2 linked regions of the Drosophila melanogaster genome follow. The protein of the gene in region 1 purifies or fractionates together with the protein of each later gene. This does not show direct contact. Each region holds a gene or a part of one and is shown in the gene's direction. Other genes may lie near its edges.

Region 1 (10,433 bases):
GTTAAGCCCGCAGCTAGACAATGAGGTTTTCGTTTAAATAGTCCAATTACTCGTTGTGTATGACCCACATTTTCAGCTAAATCCCTATTTAGCTTGAGGTAAATTGAATTTTTAAAATAATCTATTAAAATGGCTATTGCTCTTCAAAGGCGGTCGCTGATAATCCATTACCTTGTCAATTTGCCACTTAAGCCCTCAACAAGTTCCTCGGTCGAGTAGTAGTCAACAGATACGCCACATTGCGTATACGCCGGGGTGACCCAGTCACAATAAACAGCCAAATCCCGCCATCCATCAGGATGTGGCTTTAAGTCTAATGCACTGGATACCACGATGTCACCGATCACTTTTCAGCCAGGTCGCTGATGTTTTCATTGTTATTTGATTGCGATTCAAATGTACACACAAAAGGGAAAGCGCTGCGAGCCCAGCGAATAAAATAACAAATGGCAATGGGAAAAAGGACAAAAAAAAGCCGAAAAACTGGAAAACCTGAACTTGAGCCCTGGCAAACACGCACAAAACACGGACAGGCCAATGCCAAAAGCCCAAACGCGAAGGAAACAACGCACGTTCATGCCGAACAGGAAGGAAGCCACAAGGCACACAGGAAAAGGAACAAAAAGCGTCAGCAGGGGGAGGGGCGGAAGGACCCTAGAAGAGGAGGAAAAGCCCGCTCCAAGGGCAAGGATGCTGAGGTAGCAGCCACAGCAATCACTATAACAAAAGGCACGGCAATCACAGGGCAGTTTCATTAAAAGTAACTAGGGTTCACTGCACGAAACTATTGATGCGATTAAGTGGAAGTAAAGTAAGTTATAATGGCATTTCCCAAAAAGTACACAGTATTTTCATAAATTAAACATTTTCCTAGGAGCAATTGTCTCATCTTAAAAGGGAATCTCTGATGTGTGTGATAGGATAGAATTTAGAGAATCCTTGTAAGATAAATTCCCAATATCCCACTTCTCGAAGTCCGACTGTACGACAATAAGAAGAACTCGACTTAGACATTCCAATAACAATGCCTCACAAGAGCTAAGAAAATGCCCACCAAGTGGATGGGGGCGAAAAAACTTGGGGAGCAGGAGCAAAAGGATAGCGAAAGTAGTAAAAAGTTATCGGGACTCGGGATGAAGGTGCCGCCAGGAGCAGGAGTCCGGCCCACTGCGGGTGGAGGCTGGAATTAATTTTGCGTTCATCCACGCTTGGCTGCTTGGCTGGAGCGGAAGGGACGCGGCTGGAGGCAGCACTCCTGGCCAACTTGCGGCAAATATTTGCCCAGTCCGAAGTATCCATTCGGCCCGGAATTGGATGCACCTGGTGCCCAGCCAAGCGGTTGCATGCGGAGGCGTAGGGAAGGGGGGCGGGGTTGCCTGGCATGTATATGCAAATTTATTGGACACGACTCTCAGATAATGCAAATTACGCTTCCAATCAGGTTTCAATTTCAGCTCACTGCCGCAGTGAATTCGTCGTAACTAACCAGATATTACAAGCCGTGCAGGATGCAGGAATCAAATGATGCATAGATTCAAAAGATGCACTTCAAGCCATGAATCCTTGAATGAGCGGGCCACAAGGCGAATGAATGATTGTTATATTACCTGACCTCCGCTAAATTCGTTGGGTATTTTCTTTGCTCTTATCGGGGGTTTTTGCTGAGCTGCACTCTTAATTACTTGAAACTTTGTTTGACTGTTGTCTTAAGTCGAGTTGAGTCCTGGTTTAAACGTTAAGTCCGGCCAAACTTTCGCCTTAGCCCAAGGTTTCACTTTCACTCGCAGTTTGCCCCGAAAAGTGTGCTACGAAAATGTTGCAGTTGCAACGACTTTTCATGGCCACTGCCACAGCGAATCCGGTGTCCAGCTGCTGGCTGTGGCAGGTGACAGAGTATCGGGATGGGCTGTAATCAGACTTCATTAACGCCGAATTAGCCGCACAATGCGGTTATCCTGGGCGCAGGACGTGGCTGCAACGGAACGCCGTCTAATTGGGCCTGTCAACGGACTCGTCCTGCGGGAAGGACCTTGGCGCGGGCTAGGGCTTTAATTGTTTTAAATATTTACTGGCAGGACTCGAAGGACACTCCCAGCAATACACACACACGCACAGCTCGCACAATCGCACACAAATACAATATATGGCATACACGCGGGACTTACACAATTAAGAGTTCGCTATAGGGTTTTCCCCTTCTTCAGCACTTCTCTTCACTTTTCAGCACTTTTTTCGAGGATCTTTTTCGGCAGGAACAGCAACGTTAGCGAATGGCACCAGCTATCTTGGTGGCTGCTCTTTTCGGACAGTTTCTGTGGGCTTGTTGTTGTTAAGCCTGCTCCCGTGGGTGGATCGAAAATTACGGACACGTGGAGCGTCCAATTTGGCGGACAATTCGAAAGCAACTGAAAGTGAAACGGAAGCAGCAGCAGCAGCAGCAGGAGATTTCCCGCTGAAAGGCGGAGGCGAGAAAAGTGAAAAGTGAAAAGCGAGAGCGAACGCTTTTCGCTTCGGGAGCGTGGAAAGCTCCGCCGCCGCAGCTTTTCCACCCACGCTCGCTTGCTATAAATGTTTATGGCAGCCGTTGGGCGCTGCTTTTGATTTGCAATTTGATTTACGGCCCAATGGAATGGAATGGGAAATCGGGATACTGGCGAAAAAAAGGGCAGTGGGGGTGGGGGTAATGCCATTGGGGTCACTGGGCAAAAAGTCGGCTCACATGGCGGATGGGGAATACAAGCGTTCGAAAATCAAGTATACGCCTAGGGGTACATCTGCTTATCTAGTTATTGGATAAATGCGACATCATAATGCTACATCGAAAATTGTTGTAAAAGCATGTAAATTCTACGAATTTTTCGCAGTGATTCTTTTGGTGGGCTGAGCAGTGAATATGTGTCCTTGAACAATAACTCACTTAATTATGCATTTGCATTTGGCTCTGTGTGTGAGTGTGGGAGTGCTGTCCAGTGTTCAGTCGCTGAACAATGGGCGATTGGCGATAAAAGTGTGAACTAAAATGCAGCTAAGGGGCTGACAAAATTCCAACTTGTTAAGTGAAACGTAAGAGCTTAAAAATTATGGTTGGCTTTCACTAGCCGCCCGCCCACTTTGCGAGCATCCCGCTCCAGCGGTCGATAGTTTGGCCCACCGAAGGGAGGGGAGGGCTCCAATCCCCAATAGAGACACACATCGAACAGTTGGCCAGGCGACCTTCAGGAGGAAAAGCTGCCCCGACCTAGACACTGAAACACTGGAGCATTGGAGCATTGGGGCCGAGAGAAAAATTGTGAAAACAGAGCGAGAGCGCTCTGGGTGATACATTTATTTACGCAAGTGTTCGAGCTTAGCGAACGGAAACGGAAGTGGGAGTGGAAATGGAAGTGAAAGCGGAGAGTGGGAGTGTGAGTGGGAGGGGGGGGGGTGGATTGGTAGATAGCACCGAACAACGTAAGCCGCTTACAAAAGCTCCCACATAAAAAAGAGGGAATAACAAAGTTTTAAACAGTCACATGGCGGATAGTTTCCACGCAATTTTCGCACCGTTTCCGCACCATCGGAGTTTTTTCTAATGTTATATACATATATATATATATCATCTGTAATTTCCTCGCTCCGCTTATCCTGTGCGCAATTCGCATTTCCCCGAATTTCCGCCAGCTTGTGAGCACCATTTGTGCCACCATTTGTTGATGCATCCCCACCATTCTTGTTGTTGGGCCAGGTTATGAATGAAAAGCTTTGTCAATTCAGCTTTCCTCGGACCCTCGGGTCATTTTCACGACGGCTTTCGCTTTCACAGCTCTCTTTTGTTGCTCTTTTCGATTCAGAACGAAAGGTTTTAAGCAGGGTGGTCACGAAGGGGTGGTTGTATTTATTTTTTTAAAACAAACAAGCCAAACAAAATGAACAGCGAGTAATGAGTGGCTATTTTTACACATCAAACATATCTTAAAGGCTCACATTTCTGTTTAAGGATCGAGATAGAAAGATTTGTTGCACATACTATTGAAATTTGATTTAGTTTTACATCAACATGTATCATTCAAATTCTAAATGGCCAGATTCTACAAATGTAGTCTACAGATCCGCACTTTGGTTCTAGTCTTGGCTAGTCGCGAGAAAAGTCACAAAAATTGGGCGAAAAAAGAGAAAAACAAAACTTTTCTTCAAATTTTATGCTTTACAACAAAAATATAAAAATATGCAGCAGTTTTGATTTTTTTTCAAAAATTCTAAATACTTTTTGAACGGATCGGTGCTGCAAAGCGCCGTTCCAAAGGCCAGTGCTGCAAGTCGGCTGAGTCGTAGCGCGGTGAAATTCAAATAAATGCGAAATTACTTTGCTTTGCGTGTGTGCGTGTTGCGGATCGCAGCGTCAGCGTCGATCGCTGCTCATAAATAAAAAGCCGCAGCGGAGCCGCTTTGCCAGCCAGTGTGCGTTTTGGCATGAAATGAAACTGTCGCTTTTCCGCGTGGCCCGCTTTTCTCGCAGTGTATCCCAGTGTTTTGCCGGAGATCGTTGATATATCTATATGACCACGCGATCGAGTGCTTTGATCAGACAAATTATATGAGGCAGGCGATTTAATTCGCGACTACTTTGGTTACATAAAGGGCAGCAGAGAGCGAAGGATTTGCATAAATTAATTCGGAAACAACTTGAACTAATTCGCCTACATTATAGCCGGACAAAATGAGTGTCGAAAGGTAATGGAACAGATCAAAACAATTGCCGTATTCGCGTATTTGTTGTGCTGCCAAGCACTGACATCGGGTGTCCAGTCATCGCTGCTTTCTGCGGACTTACTGTCTGGTCAGCTAAAAATACCCCCCTTCGAATACTTCGACTTTAAACCCCAGCCAGCGCAAACAAGTTTTCGGTTTCCTTCGGTCGGTCGGTCGGTTGGTCGGTCGGACTGTGTGCATTCGTGTTGCTAGGGTCCGTGATCTTTGCCAAAGGTTCTGAAGTGGCCCAGATGCGAGATAAGGAGGACCACCTTTTTCTGCCCCTTCGATAGGTGCGGTTCGGTGCCAGCTAAGTGTCGAGTTCCCAATAAAGATATGTTCCTCTGAATCTTATCACTACATTACTAACTGCCAGCCAAAAACGTCTTCGTCGATGGGTCTTGTGGCCAAAATGCCCGATGATCGACGAAATGGTCCCAGAGCAAAGGAAAGATTTCACTTACCTCACCGAAGATAGTAAATAATATTAGTTTCTAATGTGGGAACGGCTGATTAGATACGTGGGTATTTACCAGACGAAAAAAAAAAACACGTGTTAATTGAAAACAAAAGTACATTTTCCGGCTCAGCTAAGCTGAAATTTATAGAACCGATGTGCATTGTTTTGAAATGTGCTCAGACTTTATTGCCACCTTATCACGATGTCTCACGATGATTCGAAGTATTTCTACAACGATAAGCACATCAATCAATGGCAAAATGACGTTACATTATTGAATTAAAAGTGAATTGAGCCGCGCAGGTTCTTTAAGTCCTGCCGCATGGAATTTACATTCAATATATTGATTGATTCGAAATTACTCATCGTAATTGTCGTACTGATGAAATTTCACTTCTGGAACTTGCCTAATTGGATTGGTTAACCCCCCATTAATTGGTGATAAGCCCACCGCCTTCGGTTTGAATTACTGCTAACCGAGATTCCTCGGCTCTGTGCCACCAAATATGTATATCTTATCTTGAACTTTGCCATCTGGCGTGCCAATTAAATTCAGTTTAGTTATTACGCATACGCCGCATAGACCGGAACCACCATGCCAACCGGTGGTGGTGAAATGAATCCCCGATTGACTGGCATGGCGCCACCAGCTGACTGGCCTCACCCCTTCCGCCCCAAGATCCCCCAATATTGCCCCAATTAAGCCAAATCATTTGCGCGCTGCCCATTCGATTGGCTGCCCAATGATTGTCTTACTCGAGTTGTGTGTGCCGATGTGGTATAAATTATCTAATTTGTGGTGTCAACAGTGGGTGAGCATTTCGGTTTGTAGAATCCGCCGAGTCGTGCAGGCGACTCTTCCAATTCACACATTGCCATATTGATGGGCAAATATAGTGACATGGACTTCAGTCACGCCGATTGAAAGTGATTGGAAAGTTTGCCAGGCAGTTTAGGGATCATAATGGGCCTATTAAAGTCATGAGCTAGGATTTGCTTGAATCGGTTGGAGTTTTTGGTGGGAGTGTGTCAAAAACCCATTTGTTTTGGTACATTGAACCGCTGACATTATCTTCGGCACTTCCTTAATCAATCGCAGACGATTTTACCGGCGATATGGCCGTTTTATATGGCTCAAGTCCAACGATTTGAAATGTTTTGGTTTTGCCAAAGTTCGCTTTACTTTATTTGCACATTCCCATCACGACTGGCAGACTTATGGAGCCTCCAATGCCACGGTTGAGTTTTAGGTGCCCAAGGGGAAGTATTCCGTACTCTGGGCCTATTGATATCAAAATATTGTATTGAGTTGCACCATATTTATCACCCTTGATTGGACAAACTATGCCACAAAAATATTTATATCGACTAAAGAGGAAGAAAGTTTGATTCGGTTCATTAAACGTGATTCCGTATTGACCTTGGCGGGCGATAAAAAAAAAAACAACACATTAACATTATTTAAGCAGTTGAAACACAAGCAAAACAAAGGCATTCGGCAAATGAGCGAGAGCGCGAAACGCTCAAAAATCGCCGTTTTGTTTTTGTTTTTACCATGTTTTCTTATCGCGCAGCCAAAACAAACTCAAACTCAGCTGGTTTCTGCTTCCAAAAGTGACGTATTCCTGCCCTTCTTATCACCGAAGGCTTCTCTCCAAGTGCCAGTGGCTCGCATTAAAGTGCACCTAAATGTGGTAGGAGCCGCAAATGGGCAATGGGGAATGGGAGGAATGCAAGTGGATTAATTTGAGTGGCGTGTGAAAGGGTTGCCCGCTCTGCCGATCCATGAAATTGCCAATAATTGTGGGTCATTAAGCCCATTAGGCGGACAAAGTGTTGGAGCACCTTGATAATAGGCCAGCCCCTACTATATGCTACCCTGTATCTGAGGTTCACAGCGATGGGGTTGCCTAGTTTTTTTTCGGTTTTCTATGCGATATTTCATTTTCTTTTCTAATCTTCCTCAACTAGAGATGACGAGTATCTAAAATTTGTGCCCCACACGATGTCGTATCAAGTCGTCCCGGGATCGGAGTTCCAGTGCAAGAAGGCCAGCTATAGCTCCAGGAAGCTCTCCACCATCGACGAGCAGGACGACGATGCTGCCAACCGAAGGGGAATGATGCACCAGGTGGGTTTAGAAGCTATAGATTCATAAACTAAGGCAACTTTGTTCTATCAAATCTTTTCGAGAACTGAAGAGAACTTTTTAGTGGGGCATACCAACCCAACTCAACCCAACGCAACCCAACCCAACCCATATAAATCCAAATCAAGGCAGGGCCTATAATCTTGTCAGCAACTTGTCGAACATCGGACATCTCTGGGACTTCGCCTCCTCATGCGTGACAGATAGTAAATATTCCGTGAAGGACAAAATGATAAGATACGCAATTGAACTTTCTTCACGACACGATTAGAAAACGGTTCCGTTGGGGGGCAACATGTGGCGGACATGTGACGGAGGTGCTGGAATTGGACAAACCGAACGGGCACGAAGTGTCATTCAAAGTCAGGGTGTCCGTGTCAGTGTCCGTGTCCGTGTCCAGTTTGCTGGCGTCACAAATTGATCGGGCATATGCCCAATCACTGATCAATGGGCAGCGATCCCGGATCGTTTGTCACCATCAGCGCAAATCAAAATAATGTTGTCCGTGATGCAATTGCAACTTCAATTGATGCCAATTGCTGCTGGGATGGGGCAACTATGATGAAGTGATCGTTAGATTCGATTAAAGCTAGATGGCACATGGAAACAGGAATACATTACATAGTTGCTTGCACACAAATCAATTATATATCCAATTGTATATCGAATTTTATTATGTTCCCTTCTAGATTCTGGCCACCTGTGCTGTACTCTTACTTTCCGCTGGATGCGGCATGCCCATTGGATTCTCGGCCATCCTGTTGCCCCAGCTGATGGATAACAACTCCACGGAGATACCCATTGATGTAGAGACGGGCTCCTGGATAGGTGCGTTCAAACAGGTGATATCAAGCTCAAAACACCTTATTAATTCCTGCTCATTCCCACAGCAAGTGTCCATAGCCTGGCCACACCATTTGGATCCCTGCTGTCGGGACCTCTGGCGGACTATTTGGGTCGCCGTAGGACCCTGATTCTCTCTGTGATTCCCCTCCTCCTGGGATGGAGCACCTTGGCGATCGCCAAGAGCATCAAGGTGGTGATCTTTGCACGCTTCCTGTGCGGATTCGCCACCGGAATTCTGGGTGGACCCGGACAGGTGAGTAACTCAATGCCACTGGCCAGGGGTTCGTTCACACGGATCACCCGAAACACCCGGACAACGCGGAACCGGATTGTTCGAGTGACCCATTAACCGTAATCGGCGGAGCCTTGAACTCCCCCAAATGGCGCTGCCCCACTGGGAATACAAAAGAGCAGTCGTGGCAGGTGGACAGATTGTCAATTGGCCACTTAACGCTGCGTATTCCATTGTCCCGGCTCCTCTGGTCGCCTCCATTGTCTCCAGCGTCTCAGCCGGCGCTGTTTATTTACGAGCATCTTATGGATATGTCCGTGACTTATCTTGCGGCCAAAGTGATAACGATATTTATCATCGTCGGCGGCGTCATCGCTGCCGGGACTTTAAATGGCCAGCGCATCATTTGCATTAGGCGCACACAGTATACGCGTAGTAGTTCCGGATTCTTGACCTTAGTCTATAATAACGTGGATGCGGACGGGTGGGCGATTTGCTCGGATTTGGATGAATGGGCGCGTGTTCCCCCGGCTTTCGCTTCGCTTTCAATGGTTAATGGTTTGCCGCCTGACGTGATTTACGATTTTATGATTGCCGTCCAAGAGTTCCCACAGATTAAGATGTTGATGTTGCTTCCGTGACCCTCGAATAGATCAAATTGTTTTGCTGGCGAAAGTTCTAGCTGGGTTCAAGGTGGTCATGTATCAGAAAGTAATAGTAATAGTATCATTTATATAATTGATGGTCAACGTGGATAAGCTGGATTAGGATTAATGTAGACTTACTATATAAACTTACTATTTTGGCCTTCATTCATTATTTTATTTTACCTTCTCGAAGGTGTACATTGCGGAAACGGCGGAACCCAATCTGCGGAGTCTGCTGATCGGCGCGCCCTATGTGGCCTACTCAAGCGGCATCCTAATGGTCTACTCCCTGGGCTCCATGATGTACTGGCGTAGTGTTGCGTGGTGCGCCAACGTGCTGCCCCTGCTGTCCATGGTGTCTATCTCGTTTATACCGGAGACTCCGGCCTGGCTACTCCGCAATGGCCACGAGAAGCGTGCGCTGCAGGCCCTCTCGTTCCTGCGGGGCAGCGAGATCAGTGCGCAGAAGGAGCTGAATGATATGAAGCAGAGGCTGGCCAAGGAGCGGGTGACCACCAAGACGAACGAGAACATCTTCCAGCTGTGCTGCCAGCGCGTGGCCATCAAGCCGCTGGTCATTGTGATCGTGTTCTCGCTGCTGCAGATGTTCTCCGGCACGTTCATCGTGATCTTCTATGCCGTGGACATGATCTCGGAGTTCGGAGCGGAGTTCGACTCCAAGCAGGCGGCCATTGCGACGGCAGTTGTCCGGGTGATCTGCTGCATGGTCTTCTGCGTAGTCCTGATCTTCGTTCGCCGCCGCAGGATCATGATAGTGTCGGGAATCGGCTCCGGCTTGTTCTGCCTGGTGCTCAGTGTCTATCAGTATGCCAGATTCGATCAACCGAAAATGTCGTACGACGTATTCGTTGGTGCCGGCTGTCTCTTGGGCTACATCATCTTCAACACGGCTCTGATGGTGATGCCCGGCATTATGATCGGCGAGCTCTTCCCGGCTAGGATACGCGGACGGACTGCCGGCGGAGTGTTTGCCTCCATGAACGTCGCTCTGTTCATCTTCGCGAAGAAGTTTCCCGCTTTGCAGGCCATGCTCAAGATGCGCGGCGTGTTCCTGGTCTTCGGCGTGTCCAGTTTCCTGCTCACTGCCTTTATGTGCCTTTTCCAGCCGGAGACGAAGGGCCGCAGCCTGGAGCACATCGAGGACTATTTCAACGGGGACAACTGGCTCTGGTTCCGGCGGGATCGAGGCTACAAGACGGTCAACCTGCAGCCCCTGGAGCCATTGAAGGACACCCGGGGGCTGGAGGCCTAGGTCGGGGGGCTTTAGTCTTAAAACAGGTCTTAGCTTAGCTAGTTTTAGCCATACTCATAGTTCTAGCCGCAGTGCCTCGTAGTCGCCCTAGACTCGCT
Region 2 (6,096 bases), on another chromosome or scaffold:
TATGAACACCAACGTCCGGTCGCTCTACCAGCTGACCCACCTGGTCACACCGGAGCTAATCAAGACCAAGGGCAACATTGTAAACGTGTCTAGTGTGAACGGCATCCGTTCCTTTCCCGGAGTCTTAGCATACAATGTTTCCAAGGCTGCCGTGGATCAGTTCACCAGGTGCGTGGCTCTGGAGCTAGCTCCCAAGGGTGTGCGTGTGAACTCCGTGAATCCCGGCGTAATCATCACCGAGCTGCAGCGTCGTGGTGGACTGGACCAGGAAGCCTACGTCAAGTTCCTCGAGCACGCCAAGGTCACCCATGCCCTGGGTCGACCCGGCGAAGTCAAGGAGGTGGCTGCGGCCATTGCATTCCTGGCCAGCGACGAGGCCAGCTTCAGCACCGGTATCAGCCTGCCCGTGGACGGCGGTCGCCATGCCATGTGCCCCAGATAAGAACGGAGTTTTTTATCCATGCATGCATTTATCTTATTTTTTTATTTTTAATTAAAGTAGCGCGCTTACCTCGTGTATTTCAAATACTTTTCAAGGATGTGATTCTATGTAAATGTAATAGTTTGCTAGAAATAAATAAAATGAAAACCGCCCTATAAAAATTGGCAACGTACGCAAGATTTAATTTGATACTTAAAATTTTCAAGTTCGTAGTAATGGACTTAATCGGCGGAAAACAAGGGAAAATTAAAGACATTCGTCTGGACAGGATCAGATGATCATATAGAATATCCTAGCAGAGACTAGCGCGGACACATGACCTGCTTGCCACCGTCCACAGGAAGGGTCACGCCGGTCACGAAGCTGGCCAGCTCGCTGGCCAGGAAGCAAATGGCGGCCGCCACCTCCTTTGGCTCCCCAATCCGGCCCAGGGCGTGGGTCTTCTTCGAGTGCTCCAGAAATTCGGCGTAGCTCTGCTCGTCCATGCCCCCCGCCTTTTGCAGATTGGTGCGAATCACACCCGGATTGACCGCATTCACCCGAACACCCTGGGGACCCAGATCCAGGGCAAGGGAGCGGGTAAACTGGTCCACCGCCGCCTTGGACATGTTGTAGGCCACCAGATTGGGAAAAGCGCGAAGTCCGCAGACGCTGGACACGTTGACAATGCTGCCCTTACACTGCAGCAACTGGGGCAGCAGCAACTTGGTCAGATAAAACCCAGAACGCACATTGGCCTCCATCACGTGGGTGAAGCAGGCCAGTTCCGTGCTCTGCAGCGTTCCCGTGGGCATGATGCCAGCCCCATTTACCAGCACATCCAGCTTGCCCTCGTAGCGCTCCGTGGTCTTCCGCGCAATGCATTCGATCTCCGGAGGCTTGAGCAGATCTCCGGCTATGCCGTACGGCTCGTGGCCCATCTTCATGCAGCGTTTCATCACACATATGAGGCCCTCCTCCTCCCGATCCACCAGGGCCAGGCAGGCACCCAGCTTCGAGAACATCTCCGCCGCGGCGGCCCCGATCCCGGAGGCTGCGCCCGTGATAAGCACCACTTTGCCGGAGAAGTCCAGACCAGCCTTGCCCTTGCTGCCCATCGAATCGAAATTTCAAATGAAAATCCAAACTACATTCGAATGTACGTACATGTGTAGATGACTTATCGAGGAAATATAACCCTGATCCCCAAGAACGTGATCTTAGTTCTTTTTACTAAATAAATAACAAAAATATAAGAGCAACTGATAGTTACTAACTAAAAAAAGAGTTTGGATTAAGAACCTCGACTTTGTCCAATAAAATCTCAATATTAAAAATTAACTGAGATAAAGAGATAAACTTTAACTAACCCTAGTTAGTGGATCACGTTCAAAAATATTGACTTTGATTGATTTTTGATAAACTACTCTAGTGCTGAACACAAAGATGACTAAATAAATGGCAATCAGTTTTATGTACACAATCAAAACAATAGGTAAATCAAAATAACAATTAAAAAAATCGGATTAAATGCATTTACTCATGGAAGAATCCATGCAGGGGAAACTAAAAGTTCCATGTCCTGTGGGATTAGCGTGGGCACATGGCATGGCGACCGCCGTCCACCGGCAGGCTGACTCCAGTGCTGAAGCTGGCCTCATCGCTGGCCAGGAAGGCAATGGCCGCAGCCACCTCCTTGACATCTCCAGGACGACCCAAGGCATGGGTGGTCTTGGAGTGTTCCAGGAACTTTTTGTACGTCTCCGCATCCATGCCGCCGCGGGCATGCAGATTGGTGACCGTCACGCCGGGATTCACGCAGTTCACGCGCACACCCTTGGCAGCCAGCTCCAACGCCACACAGCGGGTGAACTGATCCACTCCCATTTTGGATATGTTGTAGGCCAGAACGCCAGGGAAGGAGCGAATCCCATTGACACTGGACACGTTCACGATGTTGCCCTTGGTCTTGACCAGCTCGGGGGTGGCCAGCATAGTAAGGTGGTAGATTGCCCTCAGGTTGGTGTTCATGACGCGGTCGTACTGCTCCAGGCTAGTCGTCTCGATGGTGCCCGTCTCGATGATTCCGGCATTGTTGACCAGCACATCCAATTTGCCGTACTGCTGCAGGGTTTCCGACCAAATCCTCTGGGTGTCCGCCTCCTTGGCAATGTCGCCCACCACCAGGGCCGGCTGTGATTGGCTCACCTTGCTGCACTCAGCGGCTACCTTCTTCAGGTTCTCCACATTGCGTCCATTGAGAGCCAGACAGGCGCCGTACTTGGCAAACTTAATGGCGGTTGCAGCTCCGATTCCGGAGCTTGCTCCCGTAATAAGGACCACTTTGCCCGCGAAATTCATGATCCGATCCAGAATTATGTAAGGGGATCTCAAGCTCAGTGCGCATCTTGCTGGATTCAATAGGGGTATTCACCTGGTAGAAATCCGAAAATCTTACAGGAGAAAGGGTGTGCTTGGTTTTACGTTTAAAAAATCTGGTAAAATGATCAATTAAATTTAATTTGTGTTAAGGGAGCAACAATTATAAAAATCTATTGTTTTATTTAATTCAGCTTTTCAACGGTAAGCTCTATTAAAAAATGTATTATTAATGTTGAACTCCATATGTTCCTCTAGAATACTTCGAATACTAAAAATGTATTAGTCAACAAATTATTATATAAATTATTTATATATTGTATTAAATATTTTATTAAGTATTTTGGTATATTATAAAATGTTAAGTCTTAGTATATTTTCGAAGTGTGCTTGGTATTTTTTAACGGCTATCCGGTCTCACTTACGTGATCATGTAAACGAAATGCGAGTTTTAGGAAAGTGCACTGTTTTGGTCAGGCAAACCCGCAGCTTATCCACGCCATCTGGGCGCCGCAGAGTGGTGGTCACGGGAAGTGGCGCAGTCACTCCGCTGGGCAACAATGGACCGGATTCTTGGCGACGCATCCTGGCCGGCGAGTCGGCAATTTCTCGGCTGAGTGCGGAGTTTAAGGGCTTGCCCTGCCAGGTTGCGGCTCAAATCCCGAGGGAAAACCTACAGCTGGATCAACACCTGACCAAGTCGGACATTAAGCTGATGAGCCCCGCCACGCAGCTTGCCGTATTGGCGGCTGAGGAGGCCTTGTCAACCGGAAAGCTGTGCCCCAAGCAATTGAGCGAGGAGGAGCTTGAGCGGTTCGGAGTGTGCGTGGGCATGGGCATGTTCGACCTTGCAGAGGTCTATGGCGCCTGGAACCAGCTGCAACGAGGTTACAACAGAGTAAGCCCCTTTTTCGTGCCCAGGCTGCTGCCCAGTATGGCGTGTGGTCACATAAGCATGCGACATGGCTTAAGAGGACCTAACCACTCGGTGTCCACGGCCTGCGCCACAGGTGCCCATGCCCTGGGCGATGCCATGCGCTTCATTCGCAGCGGAGATGCCGACTTGATGCTGGCGGGGAGTGGTGAGGCCTGCATAGATCCGCTCTCCATCGCTGGATTTTGCAGACTGCGGGCTCTGAGCACCGCATTCAACGATAATCCGGCGGTTGCGTCCAGACCGTTTGACAAGTCCCGGGATGGCTTCGTGATGGGCGAGGGCGCAGCTGTGCTCTTGCTGGAAGAACTGGAGCACGCCCGCGCTCGGGGAGCTCCCATTCTAGCTGAGATTCTGGGCTACGGCTTGTCCGGCGATGCCTATCACATAACGTCGCCCAGCGATGACGGCGCCGGAGCCACTCTTGCCATGAAGCGGGCCATACAAGATGCTGGGATTGCACCAGAGGATGTTACGTATGTAAATGCCCACGCAACCTCCACGCCCACCGGGGATCGCATTGAGTCACACGCTATAGGTCGTGTTTTCGGGGCGCACACTCCGCAGGTGAGGGTCTCCTCCACCAAGGGAGCACATGGCCACCTGCTGGGCTCCTCTGGCAACCTGGAAGCGCTCTTTGTGGTGCTCGCCTGCGCGAATAACAAGCTGCCGCCCTCCATCAACATTGAGCACCTCGATGTGGACGTCAATGTGGTCACGAAAGCTACTGATTGGTCGGCGGACCAAAAGCGGCGTGTTGCCCTCAAGAATTCCTTCGGCTTTGGAGGAACCAATGCCTCCCTCTGCATTGCTAGCTACATTTAATAGTAGCGATAAGTTGTTAACTATTTTTTAGAGATCCACGTAAATAAAATCCTTGAATGTTTGCATATTTTTAGGAAAAATGTTTAGTTTTAAAATTTTATTTGGAAAACTTTTTCGGTTGCTTGTCTGGCCGTCACGTCGTCGTCTTCGTCAGTTTCTTGCTCTGTAAAAAGGATTATGCGTACTGTTCTTGACCAATGCGCCATGTATGTACTGTTATACTGTATATCTGTATATAATATATATATATAGGTATATAATTATGTATATAGCTCTGTTTGATTTGCTTCTGTTGCTTGTCTCTCTGTTAGTTTGTTTGTTATTGCGGTTTTTTTGCTGCTTGAAGTCGCCGCCCTCCGGTTGAACAGAATGGAGTTTGTGTTTTCTTGTGGAAAATGAAGGTTCAAATCAATGGCTGGTGACTGGTTTGGTTTGGTTTGGCTTTCGCGCGGGTTCTGCTGTGATCGTGGCCAAAATTTGACAATAGTTTCAGCTTGCGAACCGTTCGTTCTCGTATTTGACTTAACTAATCGTTTAATTTGAAGTGTTTTTATTTTACAAAATTGCTTAGGTCGTTAAGTTAAAGTATGTTGGCTTACAATCGAAACGTTTCATAATCATTTAATATTATTGGTTTTCTCTTTATGCTCTGCGTGCTTCTGCTGCATTCAGCTTGCCCTGCTGCTGCTCTTCTATCTCTAGAGTCTAGACGACATTCTTTGTTATCTCCGTGTAATCATACACAACGGATGTACATACTTATTATATGCGGCTTAGACTCGTACTAATTATATGCGTAAATAATAATATGCTATATGTGGGTTTGGGCTTGTGCTTGGGTGGGGGTTGTGGTGGTGGTGAGGGATGTGTGCAGGCGTGTGTGGGATAGCTCTTTGAATGACCGAACTTTCGTCGTTTGTTACATACATTATGAAAATACGCTTTATTCGAAATTTAACTTTTAAATTTTAGTTATTTACTGTACAGTTTGTTTGTAGTTGACGCTTCTTGATTTTAGTTACAGTTCAAATTATTGGGCTTTAATTACTTAATTTTGCACGCCACATTCATTAACAATGTTAAATTTCTCCACTCCCTAATTCAAATCGCTTAAACAATTTCAAATATCTTTCGGCTTACAATTCAAATCTGGACAGAAAAACATTTAAAACTTACGGAGGCCATTCAATTTCATAATTACGTATCTGGTTTTAGCTAGGTTTAGGAAATAAAGGAATAAAGTGGAACTTTAGAGCGCGATTTAAAAGTTCGACAGAACTCACACATTCACAAATGTATATTTAAAAAACCATTGCAAATGCGTTGTGTACTAAACGAATTAACGAACATTTGAGTTTCGTGCGTTGCAGCTGGCACCTTCGTAGGAAAGTGCAGCTTGCATTCGGTGTGTTGAGATTTTTTAAATTTAAAATATATATAAAATATTTATAAATATTTTGTTGTCTCGCGTTCTGTTACTGCTGCTACAGACCTTAACACTTACTATCTTACTATTTCTTGTTAAAAAGACATCTAT

What was found. The genes of interacting proteins can lie anywhere in the genome.
Region 2: the proteins of pippin (region 1) and CG12170 purify together in Drosophila melanogaster (affinity purification with mass spectrometry, with the first as the bait; one large-scale study listed by BioGRID). This does not show direct contact.

What each region holds. Positions count from the first base shown.
Region 1 is NT_033778.4:23,812,328-23,822,760, reverse strand, and holds the start of pippin (pippin), read left to right. Parts: upstream 1-4,433; 5' UTR 4,434-4,696; coding exon 4,697-4,710; intron 4,711-7,159; coding exon 7,160-7,319; intron 7,320-7,989; exon of another isoform or gene 7,990-8,026; coding exon 8,027-8,165; exon of another isoform or gene 8,166-8,227; coding exon 8,228-8,436; exon of another isoform or gene 8,437-8,869; intron 8,870-8,987; exon of another isoform or gene 8,988-9,093; intron 9,094-9,213; exon of another isoform or gene 9,214-9,255; coding exon 9,256-10,335; 3' UTR 10,336-10,433.
Region 2 is NT_033777.3:5,634,024-5,640,119, forward strand, and holds CG12170 (uncharacterized protein), read left to right. Parts: upstream 1-3,210; 5' UTR 3,211-3,242; coding exon 3,243-4,559; 3' UTR 4,560-4,634; downstream 4,635-6,096. Other genes in the region: CG12171 (uncharacterized protein), read left to right, coding at 1-442; CG31546 (uncharacterized protein), read right to left, coding at 745-1,539; CG31548 (uncharacterized protein), read right to left, coding at 2,012-2,782.